Mus musculus: one gene and its partners. The protein of the gene in region 7 purifies or fractionates together with the protein of the main gene of each other region. This does not show direct contact. Links are inferred from orthologs where the notes say so. Each region holds a gene or a part of one and is shown on either strand. Other genes may lie near its edges. The genes, in order: Smarca2, Ss18, Smarcc1, Smarcc2, Smarcd3, Dpf2 and Bcl7c.

Region 1 (4,297 bases), on a different chromosome or scaffold from region 7:
AATGATTCTGCACTACGCCCTCGCTCTCTCCCCTCCTACACCATCCTCCTTCGCTTTAAACACCCCCAAGGGCCCCCGCGAGAGAGTGGACCGCTTGGGGTGTTTATTTTCTTCGTGGAGTAAATCCTGCGAGAGTTGGAAGCACATTTAGGCCCGAAGTTTGAACGTGCAACAGCCGCAGGGCACAGCGACTCACTCTCTCCGGACCTGGAGCAGAAAGAACTGACCACGCCAGCCACCCGCGAGGCCTCCATCTCCCCCGCGCAGTGCCTCCCGCTGGAAAGTTTTCCCTGCAATCGATTGCCTGCCTGACTTTGCACGGAAGGCGAGCCAAAGATGGGAGGGGGGTCGGCAGAGAAAGACCTAGAAAGCTCAGCGGGCGGCGGCGGCGACAGCGGGAGGAGCCGGCTCCTTACCTGGGCGACGCTGAACGGCCAGGGCTCTCGAGCTGGCGCCGCCCGGGGCTGCGAGGGAGCGGTGTGCACAGCGCGGCTTAGGCCGGCGCCCGCGGCCCGGCCCCCGCCACCTCCTCTTCCTCCCTCGCGCGCGTCATGTCACGGCGATCAAACACGTCTGTGCGCTTCGCCGCGGTGACTTCCTGATTCTCCGCCGCTCGCGCGCGCCACGCACTCGCCCTCGCCGCCGCACGCACCGCCACCGCCTCCCGCCGCCAGACCCAGCCGGCTCTGCGTCCGGCTCCCGGGAGTGCTCCGGCTAGAGACGCAGCCCGCGCAGCTCGCCACTCACTGGTCCCTAGCGCACTGCACACTCACGCCAGCCCGCCGCCCCCTCCAGCCCCTCCATCCGACTTGCAGCACTGCCAAACTTTTTTTTTCCGGGTTGATTGGTGTCCAACTTCCCTCCGCCCCCATCCCCCAGGCAGCCCTACCAGCCCGGCGCTCACCACTATCCGCAGCGAATAGCAACCGGTATAAAAAAATAATAATGTAATCCAGGCCGCAGGGGTGAATGCAGACACCCGCACCCGGCGATCTCCTGCAGGTACCGGAAACCAGCGTGAGCGCCCGGGCCGGAGCGCGGGTGTCCCCTAGAGTCCTCAGCGCTGCGCCCCGCCCGGAGCGGTGTCACTGCGTCCAGGCTGCGCGGCCTGGTGCGGGGCACCGGGGGGCACTGTGCTGGTGTGCGCTTGGTGGCTGGAGGGCGCCCAGGGGCTGGCGCGCTGGACCGGTGATTTGGGGAAGTACATCGCGACACCTATGCAGATGGCGTGGCCCTGTTTTGCAACGCCAATGGGAGGGGAGGCAGCCCAGCGATGGGGGAGGAGGAGGAGGCAAGGGAAGGGGTGAACTATGTTGGGATGGGAATAAAGCAAACTCGAAAGCAGGGAGCAAGAAGGAAGGGGTGAGTGTCATCGCTAGGAGGAGGCTCCCACCGGCTCTCCCCGCCTCCCTCCTTCGCCACCCCCTGTTTCCTCCCCACTGCAGCCCTTCCCCTTCCCGGGCGAACGCCGCGGCCGCTGCCCGGGTGCGTGCGGGTCCTGTTGTGACAGTCAGGCAGAGAGGATTATCCGGATCATGGCCTCCCCAGCCCTCAGCCGCCGTGGCTCTCCCGGGTCCCTGTGCGCCCCTGACACTCAGACCATCCCAGGCGCCCCGCGTCTGCAGCTTCCTCGGCGCTTGCCAAGGAAAGACACCAAGCAAAAGAAAACAAACCCAGAGAGGGGAGGGGAGGCTAACAGAGCCTAGTGGACACCTCGGACCTCTTTCCTTGGGGCTTCCTTCCACCCTCTGTAATGAGACCCGGGCTGGACACCCCGAACTTCAACATCCTAGCCCGCGCTGCCTCTAGGTACCAGACAAGAGGGTCCGCGGCGCCACGGCCATAGCCCCCGGGGCCAACCCTTTCACCTAAAGGCCTGTCACCAATCAACATTCCCTTCCCTGCCCTAGGGAACCCCGGGAGTGGAGGTGACACCTCGGAGCCCCAAGGCACCAACCCTGTGGTAGTGGCCGCCGCCCGCTCAGTGCGCCATCCCAGACTACTACCGCCAAGATCTGCTCTCGTCCCCGCAGCCGGAGCCCTTTAAACAAGTCCCCGGGAGGCGAATAGCAGCCGTGTTGGTTGGCGCCCTGCCGCCAGCCCGGGCTCCTCACCCTCCTTCCCTCCTTTCCTGTTCCCTTCCAACTCTAACGGGGAGGATGGCTCGGGGTGAACTGTCGCGTTTCCAGTCCCCCGCCTCCCAACCCCTCCGCCCCCCGGCCCGGAGTTCCCAAATCCCCCTCTCCTCTTGCCACTAGCCCTCCCCACCTCTGCTTTTTAGGGGATAGGAGGGGGGGGGGGATGCAACCTGGCGGAGAGTGTGTTGCAACCCTGAGTTGGCAGCGCATCACTGTCAACCTGCCCAGGGTCAAGGCTGTGACATGTTGGGATTTCTTCTCCTTGCCCCCTCGAAGTAGTAATTATTACTGTTATTATTAGAACGGCGAGGTTCGGTTGAAACTTTGTTTCTTTTATCGCCACCCGGGAGCTGTGGTTAGAGCATTCCACCTGAGGCCCGCGGGGAAGAGGCGGGCTTTTTTGTTGTTGTAGCGGTTGGCCCGCCTGTTTGTTTTGGTCTTCCAGCATGCACAATAAATAATGATTAGGATAAGGATGCATAATCCGGGGCGAAGGCGGCGCGGTGCCCAAGGGGTTCGGCGGCCGCTGCGGCTGCTGTAAGGCCGGAGCCGTGGAGAGAAGAGAAAGGAGTTGTAAGTTATATTTACCTTGCTCGCGAGCAGTGTGCTGGCTGAATCTTCCCTCTCTGAGTCACCCAGAGTACAGAAACAGAGGGAGCGAGGACTAGATTATGAATATGACTTCATTGATGACAGCCGTCCCCTCCTCTTCCTAAACTCGGGCTCCGCCCCGCGTCCCACCCTCGCCGCCTCCACGGGCGCCGGAAGACGCGCCGCAGTTGGCCCCGCGAGCCGCTCCTCCCTGCCCGGCCCGGCGCGGGTTGGTGGGACGCTCCTGTCACTCGCCCTGCTCAGCGACTCCGGGAGCGCGCGGGGGGAGCAGGGGGCGGTGTGCAAGAATGTGGATCTAGACAGCTCTACTGTATGCGTGGATCTGTGTGTGTCTGCGAGGCGCCGGCTCTCCGCCGTGTTTGTGCCTGGAGCAGAGAAACTGCGCAGGACAAGCAACCAGCCCGCAGCCCTGCTGGACTCGGGAGCCGCACATCCTTTAGCTGGCAGTAGCCTTCCGAGCTTCTCCGAGGAGACTGGGGGAACCCCCCGAAGCGAAGGGGAGGGCAGCCGTAGTAATCGAGCGTAGTAGTTCTGGGGAATGTGGAGACCGTGCTGGAATTTAAGTGTGCCTGCGCCTGCCAGCTCGAGCCTGCAGAGAGAAAGGGAGGGGACGGCGGGGGCAGGGCTCCGGGTGGCACCAAAGCTGTTTGTGGCAGTGTTGGCCGCGGGGGTGGGAGGGAATGGGCATTATCATACGAGCTGAAACTTTTTCGACCCCCGCCTCCTCCCCGTTTCTCTCAAGGCTGTCATAAATTTGCGTTCTTCCCACCCATCCCCAGCCCCCAGTGAAAAGGGAGGCGGCACAAAGAGCGAGCTTGCCAAATCTGTCTCATCCCTAAAGGACTGCAAGCTTCCAAATGCCAGAGAAGAGAAACAGCTGAGAGGCCGGCCGCCTAGTAAATAAATAAACCCAGATAAACCCTCCTAACCCCTCTGTTTACTTCGGAAAGGCACGAAGCACTTTCACCTCCCCTCACCTGTCGTCTTCGAATAAAATATACATAAAAATGTGGGAGGAGAGAACGACCCGCGAGGGTAGGGCGGGAGAGTCAGGGGGCAGCTGAACCATGGGATCTGCTTTTGATTTAAAAAGGGAAATAAATCTCAATCTCTACAGACCGAAGTCTCCTCTCTCTTCCACCCCACATTTAAGACCAATTAAGGCTACAAACTGCAATTTGCCTGCACGTAGTGGTTTGGAGAGCTAGTGTTTCAGTTTTCCTTGAAATACAGTATGTCTGCCGGACCCTAGGTCACTATTTGGTGAGGCGGTTTTATTTTTAGTTTTATGAAGTGTGAAAGAATGTTAGGAGATTTTAAATCAGAGGCCTATTATATTAGACTCAGATTAATGTAGGTGCTTGACTCTTAAAATTAAAACTGCTCCTATGTGGTCATGTTATGAAAAAGTATGATCTATTCCTTATTTTGCAATGTAATGGCGTAAATTAGTCATTCAAAGTGCACTGTGACTATTTGGTTGAGGATCCCTCCCACCCTGGGGTAAAATCCTATTTTAAGATGGTTTATACTTTTACAGAATTGAC
Region 2 (4,300 bases), on a different chromosome or scaffold from region 7:
AAAAGAAAAAAAATCTTACTTTGTGTATGTGGAATGATATCACATTTAATCAATTCTGTTTAATACCTATCTCAATTATTCTCTTTGAAACTCAGAATGGAAAAAGGGTGTTTCTTTTGACTTATTTATCATCAGTGTGTATTAATCATCTCACTCACACACACACACACACACACACACACACACACACACACTCAGTGCTGTGGTGTGAGGTCAGAGGGCAATTCTGTAGCACTGGCTCTCTCCCTGAACCCAGCTGAACCATCTTCTAGGCCATTGTTTTGGGGTGTCTTGTTTTAAATACAGAAACATTTCATTACCTCTCCAATCTGTAACAGTAGTTTCTGCTAGTTGAAAGTGGACTCGCAGTTGCTACTGGAGCATTCTCATGCTCTAGTGTGAAGGAGGAAATCTCTTCTCCAGAAGGAAACAAACACAGGAGCAGTGCTGCCCAAGGGCCCTGAGGTAATGGCTCAGCTTCTTTTCTAACTGTGCAGATTCATGATTCTCCAAAAGGACACATAGCAATCATCTCTATGCATGTAATTATTAATAGAAGTTTGTAAAATAAACTGAGATATCTCAGAAAGTCCAAAAACCATAAGATTATCATTTTAGCATCTTATAACAATCTAAGCAACCTTGGTTTTGAGGATTAAGTAATTCATCTATGCCAATGGCACTACAGAAGAAAACCTACATGGAGTCCCTAGCACACTATCCAAGTTTGTAGGAGCTTAAGATTTAGGGGGGCATCCTAAGCATGCCCCACCTTTCAAAATTTCATGACAAAACCAAAAATCATTTAACGTGATTTTCAATTAAAAACAAAATCCAATTACCATGAATTGGTATTTCCGGCACATTTATCATTATCTTCGATTGCTAAGAGCAAACACTTTTCTAAAGTGTGCCTCTTAAATATAATCACTATATACAAAAAAATTCTTTTGTTTTTTATTGTTGTTACTATTTTTGTTGTTGTTATCAAGATAGGGTGTAGCGTCGGCTGCCCTGGAACTAACTCTGTGGACCAGGCTGGCCTCAATCTCACAGAAATCTGCCTGCCCCTGAAGGCAGTGCCATCAATTCAATACTCAACCAAGGAATCCACGACACATGAAACAACCCCAACCATCTGCCTCCTGTCTAAACCAACATCTGACACTGCAAACAGAACTTGAATTGTAATGCTTTTGGGGGGCTGGAGAGATGGTTCAGAGGACAAGAGCACTTAATGCTCTTGCTAAGGACCTGGCTGTGGTTTCCAGCCCCCACAGGAGGCTATTAACTCCATTTCAGGGAACTGATGTTTCTTCTGACCTCCCCAAGCACTGCATGCACATGACATACACAGACGTATAAAATAACAAAAGAATTTTAATCCATTTTCACTTTTCATCTGAGAATGAAATATAACCAGTTAGCACCTAGATCAATCACTCACGATAAGCAACTAATAGAAAGAAAAAAAAAAGAAAGAAAGAAAGAAAAAAAAACTCTACTGAGAAAAAGGAAAGCGCCAGACTTTTTCTAGAGTTCAAAAAGAATCCTCTTAGAAACATTCTTTCTGCACGTGTGTGCTTAAAGAAAGCTGTTCACCAGACTACTGGCTCAACCTGGCACTCTAAAGAAACCAACTGCGTTTCCAGACACTGCCAGGCGGGTTTCTTCAAAGAAAAATAAAGCAACAGTTGGGCAAATGTCAAATGCCACACTACAAAGACCCTGACAGTAAACAGAAACCGATGGCCGTAACCCACAGGTCTTCAAGGGTGCCCCGATTGGTACTACAGGTTGACTTGCTCCCCTTAACCTTACTCCGGGGCAGGGAACAAGATCGAAATACTCAGGGCAAGGCAAACTGCTAAACTTAACAGGAGGCGACTTTCAAAAGTCTACCATGCTGAGAGCTAAATAGTGCCTTGCTTTTAGACACTGGCTTAGAGGATAATAAAGAACCTTTGTGTCTCCAGTTGGCAGCCCCGGAGCGGCGACTGGGTGGCACTCTCTGAGGACCCAGCTCCCAGCGCTTCGATCGTGACTTCATGCAAACCGCCCGCCTGTCGCTGTGGACGGCCAACAGCGCTAGGCCAGCGAGAGCAGGCTCGCCCTCCGGAACCCCAGCGCCCGCCCTGCGCGCTCAGGCGCATCTATCTGCTGCAGACCGGAACAGATCCGGGGTGCGATCCCGGGAGCGACCCCGGGGAGCCCCGGAGGCCCCCCGGCTCCTTTCTCGCCTGCCCCGAGACATTGCGGAAGGTTCTCAAGTTCTCCGAAGAGGGCCTCAACTCCGAGGAGTTTGCGGCGCAGCACTCTCGGGTCGGGCTTCCGCGCGTGGGGTCCCGGCGGGGCGACGCCGGAGTCTCGGGGCCGCTTCCTTCACGGCCCCGCGGCGCGAGGCCACCCGGCCCGCGGGGAAATCGGGCGGCGGTTGCCAGCGCTTTTGTGCGGGCAGAGCAGGCGCCAAAGGGCTCCGTCGGAAAGCCGGCGTCAGCCCGCCCCCACGCCACCCCGCCTCGGCCCGCGTCCCGGCGCCTCTCCCGGCTCACCTTCTGGATGGCGGCGGGCGTGATTTCGCCCTTGCCCCGCTGCCTCGGGGCTGCGAACGCCACAGACATGTTGCCGCCGAGCCCGCGATCAGCGAGTCCCGAGCGCTCCAGGGCCCGCGGAGCTGGGGGCCCGACGCCCGCCTCCGGGCAGTTCCACCTTAGGGCGCGCGGTGGGGGGAGGATGCTCCCGGGCCGCGTCCCTCGCTGGCCGGCTTGGCCTTAACGCTGAGCCGCAGCTCCCAGCAAGGAGTGTAAGACGCTCACTGCTGCCGGTGCGGCTCGAGCCCCCGGTCCCGCCGCGGTCCGCCCCGCTGCCCTCACGCGCTCACCGGCCGCACCCCCGCGTCCCTGCGCTGATGGTAGCGCCGCGCCGGCCGCCTCTGCCCGGACGCTCAGGAAATGGTCCCGCCACGGCGGGAGGGAGCGGCTGGGCCGCGCTGTCACAGGAAACGCGGGGCCCGCCCGCCACACTGCCCCAACTGTGCCCTCGACCCTCTGGGGAAGAGGCTCGCCCGGGCGGCCGCCCAGAGGGAAAGAGGACAGTCGGGGCTCCGGAGCGTCTACCGGGTCAGCACAGAGAACGCGGATTCGCTAGTTTAAATGGCTCCCTGCGCTCCACGTGCGCACCTCGGAGTGCACGCTCGTCTAGTCTAGCCTAACAGTGGAGAGAACCCCGGACTCGGAGTTTGCCTAAAGATAGACCCTGCCCACACTTGTGGATCTACTTGATCTGACTTGGGGCCTCTGGAAGGAAGCTGTGAAAAGCCACCCTCTTCTCCAGTTAAATACTTAGTGCTTAATTAGGCCCAGGCTTCAAGTCAGTATGAAGGGAATAAAGCCAACAGCTGCAAATTCAAAAGGAACACGTTGCTGTGGATTAATTCTGCAACATAGACTTCCTAGTCGCACAAAAGAGAAGTTTATGTGAATCGTTACTTAACATCACTGATGCTCAAAAATTAGTGCCTAACTGGATGTCAGGGGTGCTCGCCTTTAATCTCAGCACACAGGAGGCAGAGGCAAGCAGATCTCTGTGAGTTCAAGGCCAGCCTGCTCTACAGAGTGAGTTTCAGGACAGTTAGAGCTACACTGACGGCCACTGTCTCACAAGACCAAAAAATTAGTGTCCAAAATGTTAATAAAGTAAAAAATAAACGTATTTTTAAATGTTATTTCAAATGTCACGGGTCAGTTGCGATTCTGGGGTGTCAGTGCCCTATACGGGTGGTAGAACTGACCAGCTGCAAAGGAAACTCTCAAAGATTTCATGCTGTTTAATTATAGAAAAGATTTACAAAAAGTAAACAAAACCAGATATGCATATAAGTAAAATTTAACGGTTAGCAAACAAGGACAGCACTACAGGCTAGTCGTGTGCCTTAAGTTCTGAACTCTCTGTTGTATTTAAAGAAACCTAAAGGGTGAAGACTAGGCTTTCAAGATGGCTCATCTGGTAAGGTGCTGTGGCCAAGCTTGACATCCTGAGTACAGTCTGTGTGACCAGCATGGTGGAAGGAGAGAACCAACTCAGTCAAATTGTATTCTGACCTCCACATGTGGTTCCCCTACGCTGTGCATATGAAATAGTGCGCGTGCGCACGCGCGTACACACACACACACACACACACACACACACACACACACACGATAGAAGATGAAGACTCTGGCCATTCTAACATCAAAGGATGGAACCTTCTCTCTCCCTTACAATGGTAACTGTTCTTGAGAAGTAACTTCTTGTCTTTCAC
Region 3 (3,500 bases), on a different chromosome or scaffold from region 7:
TGGGCCAGATTCTATAAATTCAGTTAATGTAAGACATTCTTCTGTGTATGGACTTTGTCTCAGCCTCTGGGATTCAGATGCGTCTCTGCATGAAGCCACCTTCCCTGCAAGAAGTCTCCTGGACTATTACAGTGCATTCCAAGGATTTTGAAGTTCCCTGTTGTAGCTGTTGCTTGTGTGTGTGTGTGTGTGTGTGTGTGTGTGTGTGTGTGTGTGTGTGCGTGCGCGCGCATGCGCGCGCGCAAACGCACATGGCTTGCTGGTGCGAGAGCGTGTGTTAAAGTTAAAAGACAACTTGTGAGTGTATTTTGGATCATTGTTCTAGAACTCAGTCCATTATAGCAGGAAGTCATAGTAGCCGTGCTTAAGGCTATTGGTTACATTTCATCAATAAGAGATGAACAGTCCTATCAACGGTTTTTCATTCACCCATTCTCCTAATTAAAGCTCATGAAGGCAGTCAAGGATTATGTTTTTTTTTCTTCTTTTTTCTTTTTCTCTTCTGAGACAGAGATTCTCTGTGTAGCACTGGCTGGCCTCAAACTCAGAGATCTGCCTGCCTCTGCCTCCTGAGTGCTGTGAGTCATCTCAGCCCAGCAGGCAGAGGATTCTGGTTATTTATTGTTTTGTGACTAGGAGCTAATTTCTGGCCACATACAGGATCTTCTTAAGAAATCAGCTTATGGCTGGATCCTTCTCACTGAGCATGTCTACCCAGCTGGAGATCACAGCCTCTCATGTAACTCTGTGGAGGTCAGGGCTCGGGCTGGGGTAGGGGTAGAGGTAAGGCTTAGGGGGAAATGACCTGAGCTCCGAACACAAGCTCAGAGGGATGCTACTGACCGTGGCCAGCACCTCTTTACCTGGTATTCTTCCTCTGCAGTTCCTAAACCACCTCATTTCAAGTCAATGCAGGAACTACCTAAGTATCAAGAACAGCTACAAGAGCTGACTCCCGTCTTTATACCAATTTTTTCTTTCTTTTCTCTTTCTCTTTCCTCTCCCCCTCCCCCTCCTAAAGATTCTTACTATGTAGCCTCGGCTGACCTGGAGCTCCATATGTACACTAGGACGGCCTGGCAAGCGCCTCTGCTCCTGAGCACTGGGGTTAAAGGAGTGTACCCTTTAATTGGACTAGGTCTGGTTGAACTTCACTTTTTCCCTACTTACCACCTTTAATTCCACAGCATAAAAGTTCTTGTAGGGGAAAGAACAGCCAGGAACTATGCATGTCAGATGAGATTCAAACTAGTCAGGTTTAATCATGAGTGACAGAATCAGTGGCTTCCCCACAGATCTCAGTACTGAGTACACAACCTGAGTGTTCACACCAAAACGTTATCTCCCACACCTCACTGTTGCAGGCTAGACTGTCTATGGGCTTGCTAATCTCACGAAGAAAGCATTTCTTCCTTATCTGTAGCTTCCAAAGCAGGATGCTGGGTAATGTCGTCCCACTGTGCTACTTACACATGCCGTTTGGTGCTGTGAGGGGTACCCGGGGTCCTAAGATGTTTCCGGGCATTGGAGGCATACCAGGAGGGGTAGGGCCACTCCCAGTAGGGTGAATGTTGGCTGCCACAGCGGGGATCATGCGACCTGGCATGGGCTGGCCAGGCATCATGGAGCCAGGGCCTGGTATTTGACCTGTGGAAAGAGATTTAAAGCACTGTAAGTATTCATGCACTGGGGGTGGGTAGGCACCAACTCAATGTCCAAGACTGTAGAACATAGACAAATAAAGACTTATTTAGCATGTGGATGTATGGGCACAAACACACCATGGTACAAGTATGGAGGCTAGAGGAAAACTGGTAGTGTGTGAGCTTTGAGGACTGAACTTGGACAGCCAGACTTGAGGCAAGCACCCTCACCTTCTCACTGGCTGATGATCAGCCTTTTATTCATTTTTTTGTAGAAGAAACACTTAACTGAGGAAAGATCACTGACTGACTTCTCAACTTTAGTATAGGAAAGGTAGTTACTATTGAGAATGAATTACAGGGCTGAGGCCATGGCTCAACTAGATCATGAATTACGACTGGTAAGAATGCTTCCCTTGGGCTGGAGAGATGGCTCAGCGGTTAAGAGCGCTGACTGCTCTTCTAGAGGTCCTGAGTTCAATTCCCAGCATCCACAGGGTGTCTCACAGCCATCTGTAATGGGATCTGATGCCCTCTTCTGGTGTGTCTGAAGATATCAACAGTGTACTCACATATAATAAATAAATAAATAAATAAATCTTTAAAAAAAAGTAAAAGATATTTCCTCAAGGCAAGAGGTTGTGAGATCAGTCCCCAGTACCACACAAATAGTGCTGTGGTTAGAACCCTAGGATACTTAGAACCCTAGGATACTTAGAACCCTAGGATACTTAGAACCCTAGGATACTTGGAACCCTAGAATCTGGGAGGTAGAAGTAAGATTTCAAAGTCACCACTGGCTAGACAGAATGGGTCTGACACCAATCTAAAATACATGAGTCCATCTCAAAAAGCAAGCAAGCAAGCTGGTTAAACAAGCACAAATGGGAGCAGTTCTGAGAAAGCATCAGGCAAAGAACAGATTCACTATGGTTACTCTAAATGAGCAGTGGCTTATCACATATCACATCACATCCAATGCCTGGCACAGGCCAGACATCAGAAAGGACTTTCAAAGGTCTGCCTTTCTCTGACCTGGAGGATCCCTGAGGGAGTCCATGAAGCACTGGCCTGGTAAAACCACACATGGGGTTGGGCTGAGGTAGGAGAATAAGATAAATGACAGACAATTCCATCTCTTCTCAGTGTCCTTACATTAATGATGGGAGACAGAACAAATAATGTCTGATTTACTTACACACCGATATATTTGTCTTTGAAGACTCAGCAAGTACTTAGATTCTGCTACTGAGTGACATTACATGCATTCAACTTGCTGTTGTAGTATGCAAACAGTTACAGATGTAAGTAGAAAGCTCACGTTTGGACTCAAAAGTACAGAACTCTAGCTAGGAGAGGAACATTTCTGGTCACATGATAAAGGGAAACCAGCTTTAGAGTAACAAAGTCCTTACCCATCTTCATGCTGACTCTTCTATCAAGCATGGCTGTGACAGAGCCTTAGAAAGAGGACTCTTCTGAGCCTATGAGCTTCATCGTCACAAAGACAGAGCCATCATGAGGTAATGATAGAACACAAAAACTGTATAGGATCATTTATCATGTTCAGTTTCACACCAACTCTCAAGTAAGGTCTGCTGAATCCATAGACTTAGCCAAGAGGTAAGAGAACAACACCCAGCCAGGTGTGGTAGCAACGCCTTTAATCCCAGCACTCGGGAGGCAGAGGCAGGCGGATTTCTGAGTTTGAGGCCAGCCTGGTCTACAGAGTGAGTGCCAGGACAGCCAGGGCTACACAGAGAAACCCTGTCTCAGGAAAAACCAAAAAAAAAAAAAAAAAAAGAGAGACCACCCAACAGGCAAAGTATAGAAGAGTAACCACGACCTCCCTTTATC
Region 4 (3,500 bases), on a different chromosome or scaffold from region 7:
TGTCTGTACGCCTGAAACTAGAGATATAGATTGTTATGAACCATGTGGGTGCTGGAAACCAAACCTGGGCCCTGTACAAGAGCAGTAATTGCTTTAAATACTGAGCCATCTCTCTAGCCAATGCTTCTTGGTGTTTTGTTTGTTTGTCTGTTTGTTGTGAGACCAAATCTTAGAGCCAAAGTCATCTAGAACATCTCCCTTTACCTCCTCAGTGCTTGGATTGCTTAGGAGAGCCACCATGCCCAGCGCCCAGTTCCCAGTGTTTGCTCTTTGTTAGTTTTTCAAGATAGGGTTTTTCTATGTAACAGCCCTGGCTGTCCTGGAACTCACAGAGATCCATGTGCCTCTGTTCTCCAAGATCTGGATAAAGATGTGTACCACCGTCAAGACAGGATCTCACTATGTAATTTCAGCCAACCTGGAATTCACCATGTAGACCAGACTGGCTTCAAACTCAGAGATCTGCCCACCTCTGCCTCCTGAGTGCTGGGATTAAAGGCATAGGCCACCACCACCACCTGGCTCTAATTGTCTTTTAAATGTGTGTCTTTTTGTGTGCATGGGCGAGCATGCACAGGGACAAGAGGATAACCTCAAGTTCATCCTTAGGAACGTTGCCCACTTTCTTTAAGATAGGGTCTCTCATTAGCCTGGTACTCCCCAATTAAGCTAGGTAACATGGCCAGAGAGACTTGGAGATCCTCTGTACCTTTGAAACACTGCAGTGGCCAGCACCAACATTGTTTGTTTGTTTAATTTTATGTGTGTGAGTGCCCACATTTATGTATGTATGTGTGTCACATGAATGCCTGGTGTCTGCAGAGGTCAGAAGAGAACACCTACAGATTCTCTTGAACTAGAGTTATAGGTAGTTTTCAGTCATAATGTAGGTGCTGGGAACTGATCCCAGGTTCTCTGCCAGAGCAACAATTATTCTCCCCCCAACCTTTTTAAAATTTTTTTCTTTTCTCTCTTTTTTTTAAATTAGATATTTTCTTTATTTACATTTCAAATATTAGCCCCTTTCCTAGTTTCTCCTCCGAAAATCCCCTGTCCCCTCCCCACTCCCCATGCTCCCCAACCCGCCCACTCCCGCTTCCCTGCCCTGGCATTCCTCTACACTGGGGCATAGAACCTTCACAGACCAAGGGCCTCTCCTCCCATTGATGACCGACTAGGCCATCCTCTGCTACATATGCAGCTAGAGCCATGAGTCTCTCCTTTCTTTGATTGGTGGTTTAGTTCCAGGGAGCTCTGGGGGTACTGGTTAGTTCATATTTATGTTCCTCCTAGCAACAATTGCTCTTAACTGCTGAGCCATCTCTTCAGCTCCGTGCCCAGCATTTTTATATAGGTTCTAGGTTATATATATTTTTTTTTTTTTTTTTTTATTATATGTAAGTACACTGTAGCTGTCTTCAGACACACCAGAAGAGGGCGTCAGATCTTGTTACGGATGGTTGTGAGCCACCATGTGGTTGCTGGGATTTGAACTGCAGACCTTCGGAAGAGCAGTCGGGTGCTCTTACTCACTGAGCCATCTCACCAGCCCCCCCAGTTCAATTTTATGTTCTGTTTTATCATGCATACATACATACATACTTACATACATACTTACATACATAAACACATACTTACATGCATACTTACATACATACATACATACATACTTACATACATACATACATACTTACATACTTACACACATACATACATACTTACATACTTACACACATACATACATACATACATACATACATACACACACACATACTTACATACATACTTAAGACAAGATCTCACATAGATGTACCAGCTTCTCCCCCTGAGTGCTGTGATTAGAGGATTGCTCTCTCACGCCTGACCTTCTTTTTCTTACTCTGTGTGTGTGTGTGTGTGTGTGTGTGTGTGTGTGTGTGTGTGTGTGTGTGTGTATTCAGGATTGGGATCCTATGCTTTCCTTCCAGGTTGGGTCCCAGAGATGTAGCTCCGGTCACCAGGCTTGTGTGGCAAGCACTTTCTGCCAAGTCATCCCTCTGGGTCATGTTCATATGTTTTGATAATTAAATGTAAAACAAAGGCAAGCATGGTATAACACATCTGCACTCTCAACACTTTAGGAATCAAAGATCAGGAAATCAAAGTCATTTTCAGTTTCCTTGGAAGTTTAGAGCCAGCCTAAGCTATGTGAAGTTTAGGGCCAGCCTAAGCTATGTGAAGTTGTATCTTAGAACAAAAGTTAAAACAGTATAGTAGTAGGAAATGTTTCCACAAATGTATATAATACTCTATAAAGGCTATTATGCAGCCTTTAAAGTGACAGAATACAGTTAGTTTATAGGGAAATTTAAGTGAGAAAGGGAAGTTAGCATCTACAGCTAGAGCTCCCCAGAAGGTAGAGACAGGAGCCTAGGACTTCTAAGCTCTTCTGGGAGACATAGTGTGACCTCTCTTTCAGGGAGCAAAACAAAACAAATACAAATGTAATATAGTTGTAATTACATTTGAAGAAGTGGTTGGTTATAGCTTACCCTGATGCACAGGTCTCACTTTAGACTTAAGGGAATCCTGCCTCAGTTTCCCATAGTCACCAATGTTAGATTGTCTTCATACGTTTTGGGAAACTTTTTGTGCTCTGTTTTATTTCTTGGTTGACTGGTTTGCTTTTGGTTTTTGAGATGGTCTCACTCTGCTGTTCATACTGAGTCGGACACAAGACCCTCCTGAGTACTGGGATCCCAGGCTTACATCACCACGCCTGGCTTTCGAGTTTTTGTTCCTGTTTTATTGTTGATAGTTTCATGGGTCCAAGAGCCTGTCTGTGCTCGCCAAGTACTCTACCACTGAGCCACCTCTAGCCCTCCTTTACATTTTTATTATGGTACAAGCTCCTGCTACACTGACCAGGCCGGCCTTAGGCTGCACTTCGCTCCCGGCAGTCCATCTCCGTCTCCATCTCACACTGAATCTTTTCTGGCAGCTACGACACGTGGATCCCAGCGAGTGAAATTGAAGCATCTGTGGAGGACGCTCCCACTCCTGAGAAACCGAGGAAGGTGAGCTCTCCTGGTCCCCTCCACCCCACTCAGGACCAGCCTTCTCTGTCAGAGGAGCTGGGACTCTGTAAGAGTTTCTAGACAGAGCCGTGGCTTCTGATAACTCTGACACGGACTGCCCTGTGTGTGCTTCAGGTCCATGCGAAGTGGATCCTCGACACCGACACATTCAACGAGTGGATGAATGAGGAAGACTACGAAGTCAGTGACGACAAAAGCCCAGTCTCCCGCAGGAAGAAGATCTCAGCCAAGACGCTGACAGACGAGGTGAGCTCTGCTCCTCCCTGTCAGAGCTCTTAGCTTACACCTGAGGCAAGCCTTGCTGGGAACTGGAGGGTAAACTGCTGCTCATCCCACGTCCTGTTGTGCAGGTAAACAGCCCAGATTCAGACAGACGAGACAAGAAGGGGGGCAACTATAAGAAGAGGAAGCGCTCTCCCTCTC
Region 5 (4,262 bases), on a different chromosome or scaffold from region 7:
TCAAAGAAAACAGCGACCTCACCAAGGTCACCCTGCTCTTCCTGGCAAAGGCAGCACCTGGCGGGCCCTGCTCCCCGCTGCTTCGCTGCGGTGAGGGAGGGGCTGATCTCCTGCCCTCATTCTCCATTTCCACACCCCACTTCTGGGTCTGATGTGTTTTGTACTTGAGCCCCTATCTCCATTTCGGAGCCCCCTGCTTTTGGCACCTCAATCTCAAACATAACTGGTACAGCTAACTCCAGGTCTCCACACCCACTGACTTAACCTGCCTCTTTAATTTTATTTCTCCCAAGATGATACAAGAGACTGGGCAAGGGGACCTGCGGGTCTGGTGTCATCAAACTCTGCCAGGTTTTCTTGAGTGGCAAGTGGGGAACGGGACTAGAAGTGGACTGCCAGTGCAGGGATGTGAAGGAAGCAGCATCTGTAGCAGTATCCATTTCCCCCTCCCATCTGCCCACATCAGAGACAACCTATTCCTCACAATATCCCAGAAAGGGTAGAAATTGGAGGGAAATGAGGCAGGTTGATTTTCTCTGGCCACCAGCTCTGGGCAGTCAATCAAAAGAGATGAGATGTGAATGCAAGTGGAGTGTTTCAGATTTCACTTGTCCAAGCCCAGGAAGGGGGCTGAGGCTTGGGGACCTAGACCAGGAAGGGTATTAGGGAGAGGGGAATGAAACCCCTATTATTTAAACACTACCATCTCAGGCTAGGGATGTAGCTTGGTTAAGGGCTTGTGCAATACATGTGGTGCTCTGGGTTCGATCCCCAGCATCAAATAAACTGCACATGATAGCACATACTTTTTTTTTTTTTTTTTTTTTTGAGACAGGGTTTCTCTGTGTAGCCCTGGCTGTCCTGGAACTCACTCTGTAGACCAGGCTGGCCTTGAACTCAGAAATCCACCTGCCTCTGCCTCCCGAGTGCTGGGATTAAAGGCGTGCGCCACCACCGCCTGGCATGATAGCACATACTTATAATCCTAATCTTGAGGTGAAGGCAGAAAATCAAGACCACCCTCTGATATATAGTGAATTTGAGGCCAGCCTGGGCTACAGAAGGCCATGCACACACACACCCTTCTCATCTTGCCCCCTGGATTAAGAAGCCCTAACCCTAACCCTGGGCTTCCTTTCTCCTCTTACATTGCTTACCTCTGAGGTCTCCACCCAGAGCCAAGCAGCTGTCTCTGCCCATCTCTTCTATAGTCAAACAGGCCTGTCCCTGAACTTGCCTCCCCCATTCCACCTGACTCTGTCACTCACAGCACCAATGTCACCAGCGTGGAAGCTCAAGCCTAGCCATTCTCCATCACTATAGAGGGGACTCTAATCATCCAAGAACCGAACTACCAAGTTGACCACATTCAATTCCATATGCAGAGCCTCTTCACTGGATGGTAGTCTTTAAAGCAACTACTCTTAAGCAGCTAGGTCAGGATTGGTAACTCCACTAACCCATAGGGCTGCCTTGGAATTTATACCCCAGAGATCCCTATGGCTAGAGAACAGGCTGCCACAGAGAAGCCCTCTTCCCTATCAGCCACTCTCCTATTCATCAAGGCCACTGATACTGTTGGGTCTAATGAGGCCCTGAGAAGAAGGCTTCTAGGGGCCCCCAGGAGCCTGCCATCAGTAACAGCCTCATAAGGGTCAGATTCTGGGGGCCCTTGCCTCTCACTGAAATGGTGCTTCCTGGAGTCACAACCAAATTTGGCCATAGTAAATATGACTGACTCTTCCCTCCATATGCCCAGGCTTAGAGCTCCTCACAGCAGGCTCTCCACCTCAATAGGTTCCTGGGTACCCTCAGACTCCTCACATGTCTTCGTGAGTGTGTGAGTGTGTGTGTGTGTGTGTGTTAGAACGGTATAGTACTATCCCTTTGGTTTCTAGGCCTCATGTCCCCAACTCCTGCCCCTCCTTCACACCTTTGAGGTGTTAAGGTCATCAACTTCTGGTGGCTGAGCCTGCCAAGGAGATCTTCTGACTGCTTAACTTGAGGTCTCACAAGTAGACCCTTCTCAGCTCTGACAGCAGGGCCAAGTCCTCAAGGCCCTCCTGCTAGGATGCAGAGGTTGTTCAGCAGAGAGCTTTTGCTCTTAGGTCACCTGCTCCTAGCTGCTCAGACCTAGTCGGAGTGACCCTGTCCCAAAGGATGAACAGGGACAACAGGCAGCCCTGCCCTAGCTGTGTGTTCGAGTCACCACCCCACCCCCACCCCCAGGGCAGGGGTAACACCTGAGCCCACCAGTAAAAGAATGTGAGACATGTCAGTTACAGAGGGGACCCCCCTCTTGGGGGAGGCACGGTGCCCACATCCCACCCCTTGCCCCTGAGAAGAACCCAAGCCGACGCCTCTCTTCCCGGCCGCCGCGCGCCCATCCCCAGCCGACCGCTTGGCGACGTGTTCGGATGCCAGGGCGCCCGCAAGGTCCCAGGGTTGGGCCGTGACCGTGCGCCCCTCAACCAAAGGGGTGGGAGAGCCGGAGCGCGCCGGCGGCCCCTCCCGATCATCCCTCCATTCAGCCCGAGCCAGCTCGCTCACCCTCCCCCGCTAACTTTCCCCCACTCACCACCCCATGGACCAGAAACTCAAAAAGTTTGCTTTTCGTGGCTTTGCGCGCCCCTCCGGCAACTTCGTCCGCGGCCATCGGGGTGGGCTCAGCGGCTCCTCTCACTCTCTCTCTCTCTTCCTCTTTCTTTCCCTTTTCTGCCTTTTTTTTCCTCCAACTCTCCCCTCTGAGTCCTGCTGGGCTCTCTCACACTTCTACTCGAGCGGAGTGGGGAGGGGGCCCCTTCAGGGCTGCCCTGACGGCCCACGGCCCACGCCGCCGCCGCCGCCCGCCCGCCGCCGCCGCCGCCGCGGCTGCCGCATTCCTGCACTGATAAGACAGAAATAGTCCGGCGGCCCGGGGTCTGCCTGCGACGCGCCGGGGACGGAGCGGCCCTCCTGTGCACTCCGCGTGGTCCAAGCGGCGCACAGAAGCGGCGAGACGAGCCGATCTGCCCGGAGGCTGCGCGATGGGCAGCTGCGCTGCGCCCAGGCCGCCCGGGGCCCATCGGTGGCGGCTCGGGGAGGGAACACCACGGGAGGTGACAAGGGGCTCGCCAGCCACTCTGCCCTCGCCACAAATAGTTTCTCGGTTAGGGAATTCGCCGACATGGCCAGGCAGGGAACAGACAGTTCCAACTTTTTTCCCCCAAGTGGCTCCTGCAGCATTTCTGAGGCCCTTTCCCCTGGGACCAGGCAGGCCAAGTAGGGAAACATTTGCTGGAAGGAATCTGGGGGGGAACCCGAGCCCGAAGCAGGCCTTGCTCCTGTCCCAGGGCCAGCGCGGTGGGTGTGCCGGGCTAGGCGGGCTCCCGGGCGCCCGCAGATGTGTGTGCCCTTGTCTCGCACACCGTGTGTCTGCACCCTTTTGTGGCACGGCGCAGAGGCTGTGGGTGTGGATGTTTATGTGCGTGCACTGACAAACGCCCAGTCTGTGTGCTTCCCTTCACAAGAGCCGCCGAGCCTGCGCGCGTGCGTGCGGGGCAGGACACGGCCTGTGTCTTTCAGCTCTGTTGGAGTCTATTTCTGGGCTTGTGAGTCTTTGTTTGTCTCTGTGCGAGAAAGTGAGGGCAATAGGGGAAATATTTCCGAAAAGGGGACATGGACTGGACTCATGAGAACAGGAGGAGTACATTGTGAGGAATGGCGCGGATCCAGGGTGGGTACTTGGGTGGGTAGGAGGAAAGGGTGAGGCAAGCAGGGCTTGATGGCTTTGGCGCGGAGACCCAGAGAGCTCGGGATTGGTGAAGTCCGCCCCAGAACCGAAGAGAAAGCAGGAGTGTGGGGTAGGAAGACGAGGAAACCCTAAATGGGACAGTGTGGATAGAACTGGCCATCCCTGGAGGGGAGGAAGAACAGAAAGGAGGGGACAAATCCTGAGATCCCTAGGTTGAGCCCAAGCTCCGCCCATTCCACAAGCCACGCCTGTCCCCACCTTCTGAAGGAGGAGTCCGCGGGTTTCAGGACAATCAAGGGTCAGGTTTATGGGCTAGCTGGGGCTGCCGCTGAGAGAGGGACAATGCCTGAGGGAACTTGTGGGAACACATACAATTTGAGCCCTCAAGACCCATTGCACCGAGGGACCCTAACCTTTGGCCCTTCAGAATGTCTTCATGGGTCAGGATAAGGAGCAGAGGAATGCTCTCCCAGTCTATTTGGCCTGTATCTTTGTTTCCTGCAGGTCCTGTTAGTATGCCTAGCTGTCA
Region 6 (4,077 bases), on a different chromosome or scaffold from region 7:
ATCAGGTCCAACATGGACAGAGAGTAGATCGCTTCTAAATCCATTGAAACCGAGGTTTGGTGACTTTGTTAGGAGTTATTTCAAAAGGCCTGGTGGGAACAAAAGCACTCAGTAAGCAGAAGAGAGCCTAGGAAAACAGGGCAGTACAGAATACGAATGAAAATCTGCTTAGAAAGAGTGAAAAGAAATGGGCTGAGATGCAGTGCCAATGGGCTTAAGGGAGTCCTGTTGGTTTCTTCTTCTTCTTGTTTTGTTTTTGTTTTTGCTTTTGTTTTTTTGAGACAGTGCTTCTCTGTGTAGCCCTGGCTGTCCTGGAACTCACTTTGTAGACCAGGCTGGCCTTAAACTCAGAAATCCTCCTGTCTCTGCCTCCCAAGTGCTGGGATTAAAGGTGTGTGCCCCTACCGCCCGGCTGGTTTCTTCTTTAAGGGGAAACATGTTTGTTCATGGATTTGCATAACTCGATACTGAAGGAGAAATAAATAGTATAGAACTAAGAGGGCTAGTCACACCAGTGAAAACTTTCAATGTGGAGAATGGCTTGGTAATAGCAATCAAGGGCTTGTGGGATGACACAGCAGATACGGACTCTGGGCACCACGCCTGACAACCTGACCACCATCCCCCAGGTACAAAGTAGAATGAAAGAACTCACATCCCCAAGCTGCTCTCTCACTCTTACACATATGCTATGGCACATGCACGCACACAAAGACAGACATACAGAGCAAAGGAATGGAGAGAGAGGGAGAGGGGAGAGGGAGAGAGAGGGAGAGGAAGAGGGAGAGAGAGGCAAGCAAGAGAGAAGAGGTGGGTGCCAGTGAAGTTCAAGGACCGGGTTTACTGGCAGGAATTGTCCGAATGAGAGTCAGGCCCAAGAACAGCCCATTTTGGGCACTCACTTTCCATTCTCTAAAATGGGCTGACTGGGAACAGAGGTACCTAAAGGACTGGGACTCTGACCTTTCACTACCTACCCACCAATCTCTCCCTGTGTGTCAACCTCGTGGCTAACGGCCAGCCAGGCAGGACACTGTTTGCAACTTCTAGCCTATCCGCGTGGCCTTTTCACTTACCTTTCTCACTTTCCAACCGAGCCAGATCTCCTAGCTGAGGCGTCACTAAATGGAGGGGAGACGGATCTCTAGAATGAGCTGCAGAGGGCATGTAAGTTTTCCAATCGCGCCTGCGCACTGGGATCCTAGGCTCCTTCAGGACAGGTCGTTCTCGAGCGCTCGCTCTCGTGGGCCTGTGCGTGCGCGCACCCCCTAGCTGCGCCTGCGCAGAGGGTCGAGGACCCTGTGTCCTGAGAAGGCTTAGCGCCTGCGCGTTGTAGGTTTCGGGGCCTCCCGGCCTGAGGGAGAGGAACAGGGAAGATGGCGGCTGTGGTGGAGAATGTAGTGAAGCTGTGAGTGGTCTTTTTTGTTTGTTTGTCTCTTTTTTCTTTTTTAATCTCTCATGTACCAGAAATCTTGTAAAGGACCTGGGAGTAGAGAGGGAGGTGCGGGAAGAGACAAGGTAGAGAGAAGGACATGCCCGGGAAGTCCTTGCTGTGCGACTGCTGGGAGGGAGGGCAACAGGAGACTCGGGAGACGGCGCTGGGCTTCTTTTGGAAACTTGTGGAGGACTGGAGGGGGGCACACCGGAGCCCCCGACGGGTGTCCTCCTCGCGGGCCGAGCCCCGAGCGGAGCTGCGGGCTGCGAAGGAGAGGCTCACGGTCCCTGGCCCCTCTCTGGAGACGCGTCAGTCCCGCCAAGCCGAGGCCGGCGGCACTAGGAGATCGGGGTCCCCTCCCCGCCCACCGCCGTCCCTGGGGCCATAGGCTCCGCCGTCCCTGCGGAGTCCTAAGACTTAAGCAGCCTGGTGACGTTAACCGGGAAATCCGGGGTCCACGAAACTAAAAATGTTCTTGGGAAGAACTGGTCCAAGAGCAGAACTTCGGGGAGTGGGGAACTAGACCGGAGCCAGATGGCCTTCCAGTCCGCAGGAGCCCTGAGGTGGGCGTTCTCTGTCCCCCAGATGCCATTGTGCGGGTCAGATTTCCAGTGGAGCTGAAATAAACGGTTGTTGGGCGACACCGGGAACGGGGACTGGCCTGCTAGTCGCTTCCCCTCAGTTGGAGATGTTTGGATGAGGCTCTTCCTTCCTTCTTGAAGAAGAATCAGAGTTTTGGAACGGGGTGCCCATTGGATTTAAGAATGGCCTTCTCTTCCCTTAATGGCCATGTTAGACGTGATGTAAGGATAGAGAAATTGAAGTGTTTCAGCTGTCCAATCAAAGCTTTTGGATTCTGGATGACAAAGTAAAGGTTTTGGAACCATTCTGGAGGACTTTTCGCAGCTTTATCTGTCTTTGTCGTGGGCTGAGCCCCAATCGTCCCAAGAGGCTTTTAAAAAATTTTTTTTAAGGTTAAGTTGCTTCTTCCCTGCTGCTTGCAGCCCCTTTCTTTGAAAATGCTTTTCCACTTCCATTAAGCTAAGTGCCTTCTCTTGTGGCTTTTTTTTTTTTTTTAATCTCGCTTTTGGCTTCATCCTGCTGCCTATTTCAACCACCCCTCCTCCCAACGCTATTATCTCTGTGATCTGCCCACTCCGGATCCCCGGCTCTCTTCAGGCTGACATTTCCCTCAATTTAGAAATGAGGCTGTTAATTTACCAATTTTATAGTTCTCCTTCTGGACTCAGAAGTTAAGTCTTTATTACCCTGCCTTTCTCTTTGTTGGACCCCCCTTATTCCCCTGGAAGGGGAGTTGTCCTGTGCCCCCTCCCCACCCCCCAGGTTTCCTGTGAAAGGAGGAGTCACAGCTTTTACCCTGAAAATCTTACTGTCTAAAAGAATATGCTTGCCTAGGTTTTCAGAATTAGATGTCAATGGAGTTCTTCATGTTGAAAGATGGTCTGGCAGAAAATGGAGTTGCCAACCCATTGGTGTAGTATTTTAAGTGTTGGGTGCCCATTTAAATAGAGCATTGCTCTTCATGCCTCTTTAACTCACTGGTTCCTGAGTATCAGTGGGGCACTAACTTGCTTCTCCTCAGCTGTAGTGCAGAAGACTGGAAGCTCCTAACATGTTCCCCGGGGAACTTTCCCTTTACAGGGAAGGCTTTGATTCTCACACCATTCTCACTCTGGAAAGATGCCTTTCTGATGCCTTTTTAAAAAAAATAGTATGCTTCTGTCTTCTGTCAGCTGCCATCACTCACTGAGGGAAAGACCACTAGCTCATCTTTTTCATTTTTTGCCGTGTGAGAAGACTTTCTGTCTTAATTTTCTGTTTTTCTCAATTACAACGTCATGGTTGAAATAGTCTTTATAGTGGTCTTATTAGAGTAAATACTAGTGTTAAAATAACCATGGCTGCCAGCTAGTTTTTAAAACTTTCTAGAGTTATATAAGGCTATCCATAGAATAACAGAAGCTTGGAATTTTTTGCTACAGAGTCTTGAATTTGTGTGCACTCTCCTCTTTTGCTCTCTTCACACGCACACATGCACACACTCATGCAGTCTTATCCGGCCATCTTTCCTACTAGAGCACCTGCTTGGCCTTCTAGAATCTTACCTGGCCTGCAGGGGCCCCGACTGGACGTTCCAGTCATCCCTCCAGGCCTCCCTCAGGCTCCGCACTCTGACTTTGCAGTCTTCAGCCCCACAGGGCTGGTCCTTTCTTCCGTTTGACTTCCAGTGTCAGTATCAATTCCCATCAGCAGAAACAAAGGAGCTGCTGCAGTCAGCCTTGTTTATCCAATTTTCCTGTGTGGTAAGGACGTGGCTGCCTCCTAAAGGCGAGCCAGTGTGAGCCTGCTCTCTTCTGTGCTGTGCTCTCCAGCACATTTATCCCTTAATTATAGTTATTCCTGCTCACTGAACCCACTCAGGCTGTACTTGTAGTGTTGCTGTGTGTGCTGTGTTTGCTGGGAACAAACTAAGCTGTGCAGTGGTCTCTTGTGACTGCTCAGTGAAAGTCCCCATCAGAGTCTACATTAGGGCTTGTTGATACAGCTTTAGTAATAGCATTAGACACTGAGACCTTACTCCTTCCTGCTTTTCATGCATTCTTATCCCTATTCTCTTCATC
Region 7 (3,981 bases):
AGCTGTCTTCAGACACAACAAAAGAGGCCGTCAGATCTCATTATGGGTGATTGTGAGCCACCATGTGGTTGCTGGGATTTGAACTCAGGACCTTTGGAAGAGCAGTCAGTGCTCTTACCCACTAAGCCATCTCGCCAGCCCCTTCCATTCCATTCTTTGTGTTGTTTCCAGGTTGTTGCTACTGTGAAAAGAGTCCCAAACTTTCCAGTATTCATATCTTGGTGTTCATACAGACACCACATTTTGTCCTAGTGAGGTTTCTAGTGATGTAATAAACACCATGACCAAAAGCACCTCGTGGAGGGAAGAATGTAGTTCAGCTTGCAGTGATAGTCCGTTATGAAGTCAGGGAAGGAACTTAAAGCAGGAACCTGGAGGCAGGGACTGAAACAGAGACCTTGGAGGAATACTGCTTGCTGACTTACTCCCCAAAGCTTGTCCAGCCTGCTTTCTTAGAGTGTTCAGAGGTGGCACTGCCCTCAGTGGTGTGGGCTCTGCCACATCAACTACCATCAAGAAAATGGCCCCACAGACTTACCCATAGGGCATCTTGATTGAGGCCCTTTCTCCACCAAGGTTCCCTCATCCCAGCTGACCTAGTTTATGTCAGGCTGACAAAAAACTAGGCAAGCACACATTTCTTCTGTTGAGTGTTGATAGCTTGGGAGTGGAAAGTGTTGGAAAACGGGGTTGGTATAAGTTTTTCACTGGAAGACTATCAGTTTTCCAAAGTATCTCTACCAATTACACAACCTGATTCAAGGAATGCCAAGTTGCTCTGCTACCCCATCTACATGGTCTTTCTCATTCCCGCCATTCTGGCTGAGGAGGCCCGCTCTCCACTCGCAGCGTCTGGCGCGTACTTGGCACTGTTCATGGGACTGTTCAATGAATGAATGAACAAATTAAGTTGGGCAGCGTAGAATCAAACAGCCTGGAGAGGGCAGACGCGCGCACAGAGCATTTCAGGGACGCCCACCCGCCGCGGACGCACACCAGGACAGTCCCTCTCGCGCACCCCTGAGCCCACGTGGCCGGAACGCACCGCCTCGCTCGGGCCGCGCGCGTCCAGCCGCACAGCTGCCCCCCAGCTCTCCCTCTCCGTGGCTGGCAGAGGGCGCTGTGCGTCCGTGCGCCCCGAGGGGCGGGCCCGGGCCGGGGCGGGGCTGGCCGGGCTTCCAGGCCGGGGCTCTAGCAGCCCGCGCCGCCCGGGCCGCTCCGGGGACGGGCCGGGGCGGGGCGCGGTCTTAGGAAGCCAGGCGGGGACGCGCGGAGGCGTTGGGGAGCGAGGGAGGGCGCGGCCAACTCCCGGAGGGACGGCAGGCCGAAAGAGCGGCGCTGGGGCCTGGCGCTCAGCCTGAGATCGCCGGACCACAGGCCGCCCCGCCACGGGCTCTGTCCCGGCCCCAGCCCCGCCAGCATGGCCGGCCGGACCGTGCGGGCCGAGACCCGGAGCCGGGCCAAAGATGACATCAAGAAGGTGATGGCGACCATCGAGAAGGTCCGGAGATGGTGAGCGCTGCCCCCGGGCCAGGGATACAGCCAAGCCACCTCCTCCAAACGCGTCCGCCCTTTCCTGGCCCGCTGCCCCCGCCCACCAGCTGTGCTCTGAATCGACAGGGCGCCCCCTTTCCCCGGCAATTCCCAGAGGTCTACAAAGCGTGGTCCGGAGTGGTGCTTTCCCTGAGCGGGAGCCCTCATCTATGCCCCGCCCCCTGAAGCTTTTGACACTCTAGCAAGCTTGGCCCCGGGTCTTCATTGCCAGAGTCCCTGGCCAGGCCTTGGTGGCGCCCTGCTGAGTGCCCCAGGTGTCTGCAAAACCGCAGCTCCAAGTTATATCCGTTTCTGCTTTGCCCTGGGGTTTGAGGGCTCTTTCTGCTTCTGTGCCAGTGTTAGCGAAGCTGTCCCTACCCTAGCACACCTCCCTGACCTCCAGTCTGTGGGGCTCATCCTTGGGCCTCCCTGATCCAGTCTCCTGACCTCCCACAGGGAGAAGCGCTGGGTGACTGTGGGAGACACTTCCCTTCGAATCTTCAAGTGGGTGCCTGTGGTGGATCCCCAGGAGGAGGTGAGCAAGCCCCAACCCCCAACAGGCCTTGCATCTGTGCAGCCTCAAGCAATTTCCCTCCCAGCCTTGGCCTCCACCTTCAGTCGGCTTGGAGACTCCAGTGTGGAGCCCAGGCAGATGGTAACGATTATTAGGGGGCGCGAGCGCACTTACACACACACACACACACACACACACACACACACACACACTTTCTCCAAGTTCAAGGCCTAACTCAATCTACACAACCTGATGCAGCACCTTTCGCTTCTCTGAGCCTAGGTTTCCTTATTCGTATTGAAGGGCTTTGTAAGAGCTCCCTAGACAACTAGCTCTGATCTTACCTCTCTAACCCCCAGGAGAGGCGGCGGGCAGGAGGCGGGGCAGAGAGATCCCGTGGCCGGGAGAGACGTGGTAGGGGCACCAGTCCCAGAGGGGGAGGCCCCCTCATCCTACTGGATCTCAATGGTATGTAGAGATTCTGGAATGGAGTTGGGTGGGGGGGACTGAAGGAATCCCCTGGGGATCTCTGGCTAATTAACGCGCGGCTTTTGCTTCATCAGATGAGAACAGCAACCAGAGTTTCCATTCTGAAGGTTCATTGCAAAAGGGTGCTGAGCCCAGCCCTGGGGGGACGCCCCAGCCCAGCCGCCCTGGATCACCAACTGGACCCCCAGAAGTGATTACTGAAGATACTCAGCCCCCACAATTGGGTCAGGAGAGAGGTAGGGCCCTGTGGCTCTCAGGAGCCCTCTCATCAAAGTTGAACCCACCATCCTGTCCTTGTTTCTTATATTATGTCCTCTCACCCGGTCCCGCCTCCCTCAGGGAATCTTCCCTGACCCTGGCAGAGATCACCTCCAGCTGTGCCTCAATCCTCCGGCTTCTTAGATCTGTAGGGAGCATATCACCAGCTGACTTTTTTTTTTTTTTTTTGCAGATTTATTTCTTTGCTTGCTTATTGTCTTTTTCTGTTATCATCTCCTGTCAGCCATACCGATCTTGATCATGTGGGATGCGTAATAGATGTTCAGGGAATAAATAATTCCAATAATCATAGGGATTAATAGCAGTAGATTAACAGCTAACAGAACCGCTTGTCTGTGAGTCGTTCCTCTGAGCACTCCGAAGTTCTGTTGTTTGTTTTCGCATTTAATCTTCACTGTCATCTTTTGGGACCAATGATTCTATCATGAGTCCTCTCTGTACACGAGGAGACCAACATCCAGAGAAAGATGCCCAGACTTAAGAGCCAGTGAGCAACACCTTGGGCCTGAGCCTTCTTCAGCTCCTCTGTCTTCAAATAGTCCACCCCTTGTCTGGTCAGTACCACTTCCCAGGCGTGCCTGACTCCTGTGCCTTTGGCTCTGCCTTCTCGTTTCTCCCTTGTACCTGCTCTGGCCTCCACGCCTGTCCCCGGTGGCTGCAGAGCAGCTCTCCTAAAGCACACGTTCGAGACGGCTATTTTCCTGCCTCACATCCTTCTTCGGCTCCCCGCAGCCTCTGGTTCCTTCACTTCACACTGAGGCCTTGACAAACTGTTGCCGCCAAAATTGTTCCCCTGTCAAGAACACCATGACATGGCCCCTGGGCCATACCGAGATTGTTCCAAATACTTTTGCTAATATAAACGGATAGGGCAGGGGAAGCGTCCAGTGGTAGGTGCTTATCTGACATGCCTAAGGCCCTGAGCCCCATCTCTACTACCACAGAAATGTAAGAAATGAATGAGTAAGTGAATGAATGAACTTGCTACCTGGCACTTACTGAGCAGCTCCACCCTTGACCCCCACACACAGCAGCCTCTCGTGGTCTGACTGACACTATTTCCATTCTGCAGATGATTTAGGATCCGTGGTTGCTAAGCATCTATTTCTGTCTGCCTAAGTTCTGCTCTACCTCTGTTGTCTCCTGGCTCACTCCCCACTAACGAG

The links.
Region 1: the proteins of Bcl7c (region 7) and Smarca2 purify together in Homo sapiens (affinity purification with mass spectrometry; 4 studies listed by BioGRID and IntAct, counting the BioPlex papers as one, with this or other methods). This does not show direct contact. The link is inferred for Mus musculus from reciprocal best matches to the Homo sapiens genes BCL7C and SMARCA2.
Region 2: the proteins of Bcl7c (region 7) and Ss18 purify together in Homo sapiens (affinity purification with mass spectrometry; 3 studies listed by BioGRID and IntAct, counting the BioPlex papers as one, with this or other methods). This does not show direct contact. The link is inferred for Mus musculus from reciprocal best matches to the Homo sapiens genes BCL7C and SS18.
Region 3: the proteins of Bcl7c (region 7) and Smarcc1 purify together in Homo sapiens (affinity purification with mass spectrometry; 4 studies listed by BioGRID and IntAct, counting the BioPlex papers as one, with this or other methods). This does not show direct contact. The link is inferred for Mus musculus from reciprocal best matches to the Homo sapiens genes BCL7C and SMARCC1.
Region 4: the proteins of Bcl7c (region 7) and Smarcc2 purify together in Homo sapiens (affinity purification with mass spectrometry; 4 studies listed by BioGRID and IntAct, counting the BioPlex papers as one, with this or other methods). This does not show direct contact. The link is inferred for Mus musculus from reciprocal best matches to the Homo sapiens genes BCL7C and SMARCC2.
Region 5: the proteins of Bcl7c (region 7) and Smarcd3 purify together in Homo sapiens (affinity purification with mass spectrometry; 3 studies listed by BioGRID and IntAct, counting the BioPlex papers as one, with this or other methods). This does not show direct contact. The link is inferred for Mus musculus from reciprocal best matches to the Homo sapiens genes BCL7C and SMARCD3.
Region 6: the proteins of Bcl7c (region 7) and Dpf2 purify together in Homo sapiens (affinity purification with mass spectrometry; 4 studies listed by BioGRID and IntAct, counting the BioPlex papers as one, with this or other methods). This does not show direct contact. The link is inferred for Mus musculus from reciprocal best matches to the Homo sapiens genes BCL7C and DPF2.

What each region holds. Positions count from the first base shown.
Region 1 is NC_000085.6:26,603,663-26,607,959, reverse strand, and holds the start of Smarca2 (probable global transcription activator SNF2L2), read right to left. Parts: upstream 2,801-4,297; 5' UTR 2,727-2,800; intron 2,712-2,726; exon of another isoform or gene 1,911-2,711; intron 1,810-1,910; exon of another isoform or gene 1,450-1,809; intron 1,387-1,449; exon of another isoform or gene 905-1,386; intron 819-904; exon of another isoform or gene 417-818; intron 1-416. UniProt on the Homo sapiens protein: ATPase involved in transcriptional activation and repression of select genes by chromatin remodeling (alteration of DNA-nucleosome topology).
Region 2 is NC_000084.6:14,680,115-14,684,414, forward strand, and holds the start of Ss18 (protein SSXT), read right to left. Parts: upstream 2,801-4,300; 5' UTR 2,622-2,800; coding exon 2,553-2,621; intron 1-2,552. UniProt on the Homo sapiens protein: Appears to function synergistically with RBM14 as a transcriptional coactivator. Isoform 1 and isoform 2 function in nuclear receptor coactivation. Isoform 1 and isoform 2 function in general transcriptional coactivation.
Region 3 is NC_000075.6:110,233,024-110,236,523, reverse strand, and holds part of Smarcc1 (SWI/SNF complex subunit SMARCC1), read right to left. Parts: intron 1,648-3,500; coding exon 1,471-1,647; intron 1-1,470. UniProt on the Homo sapiens protein: Involved in transcriptional activation and repression of select genes by chromatin remodeling (alteration of DNA-nucleosome topology).
Region 4 is NC_000076.6:128,465,815-128,469,314, forward strand, and holds part of Smarcc2 (SWI/SNF complex subunit SMARCC2), read left to right. Parts: intron 1-2,980; coding exon 2,981-3,056; intron 3,057-3,191; coding exon 3,192-3,323; intron 3,324-3,427; coding exon 3,428-3,500. UniProt on the Homo sapiens protein: Involved in transcriptional activation and repression of select genes by chromatin remodeling (alteration of DNA-nucleosome topology).
Region 5 is NC_000071.6:24,599,203-24,603,464, forward strand, and holds the start of Smarcd3 (SWI/SNF-related matrix-associated actin-dependent regulator of chromatin subfamily D member 3), read right to left. Parts: upstream 2,801-4,262; 5' UTR 2,657-2,800; coding exon 2,579-2,656; intron 2,563-2,578; exon of another isoform or gene 1,934-2,562; intron 1-1,933. UniProt on the Homo sapiens protein: Involved in transcriptional activation and repression of select genes by chromatin remodeling (alteration of DNA-nucleosome topology).
Region 6 is NC_000085.6:5,910,072-5,914,148, reverse strand, and holds the start of Dpf2 (zinc finger protein ubi-d4), read left to right. Parts: upstream 1-1,277; 5' UTR 1,278-1,376; coding exon 1,377-1,408; intron 1,409-4,077. UniProt on the Homo sapiens protein: Plays an active role in transcriptional regulation by binding modified histones H3 and H4. Is a negative regulator of myeloid differentiation of hematopoietic progenitor cells. Might also have a role in the development and maturation of lymphoid cells.
Region 7 is NC_000073.6:127,705,967-127,709,947, reverse strand, and holds the start of Bcl7c (B-cell CLL/lymphoma 7 protein family member C), read left to right. Parts: upstream 1-1,181; 5' UTR 1,182-1,420; coding exon 1,421-1,512; intron 1,513-1,989; coding exon 1,990-2,068; intron 2,069-2,406; coding exon 2,407-2,515; intron 2,516-2,610; coding exon 2,611-2,772; intron 2,773-3,981. UniProt on the Homo sapiens protein: May play an anti-apoptotic role.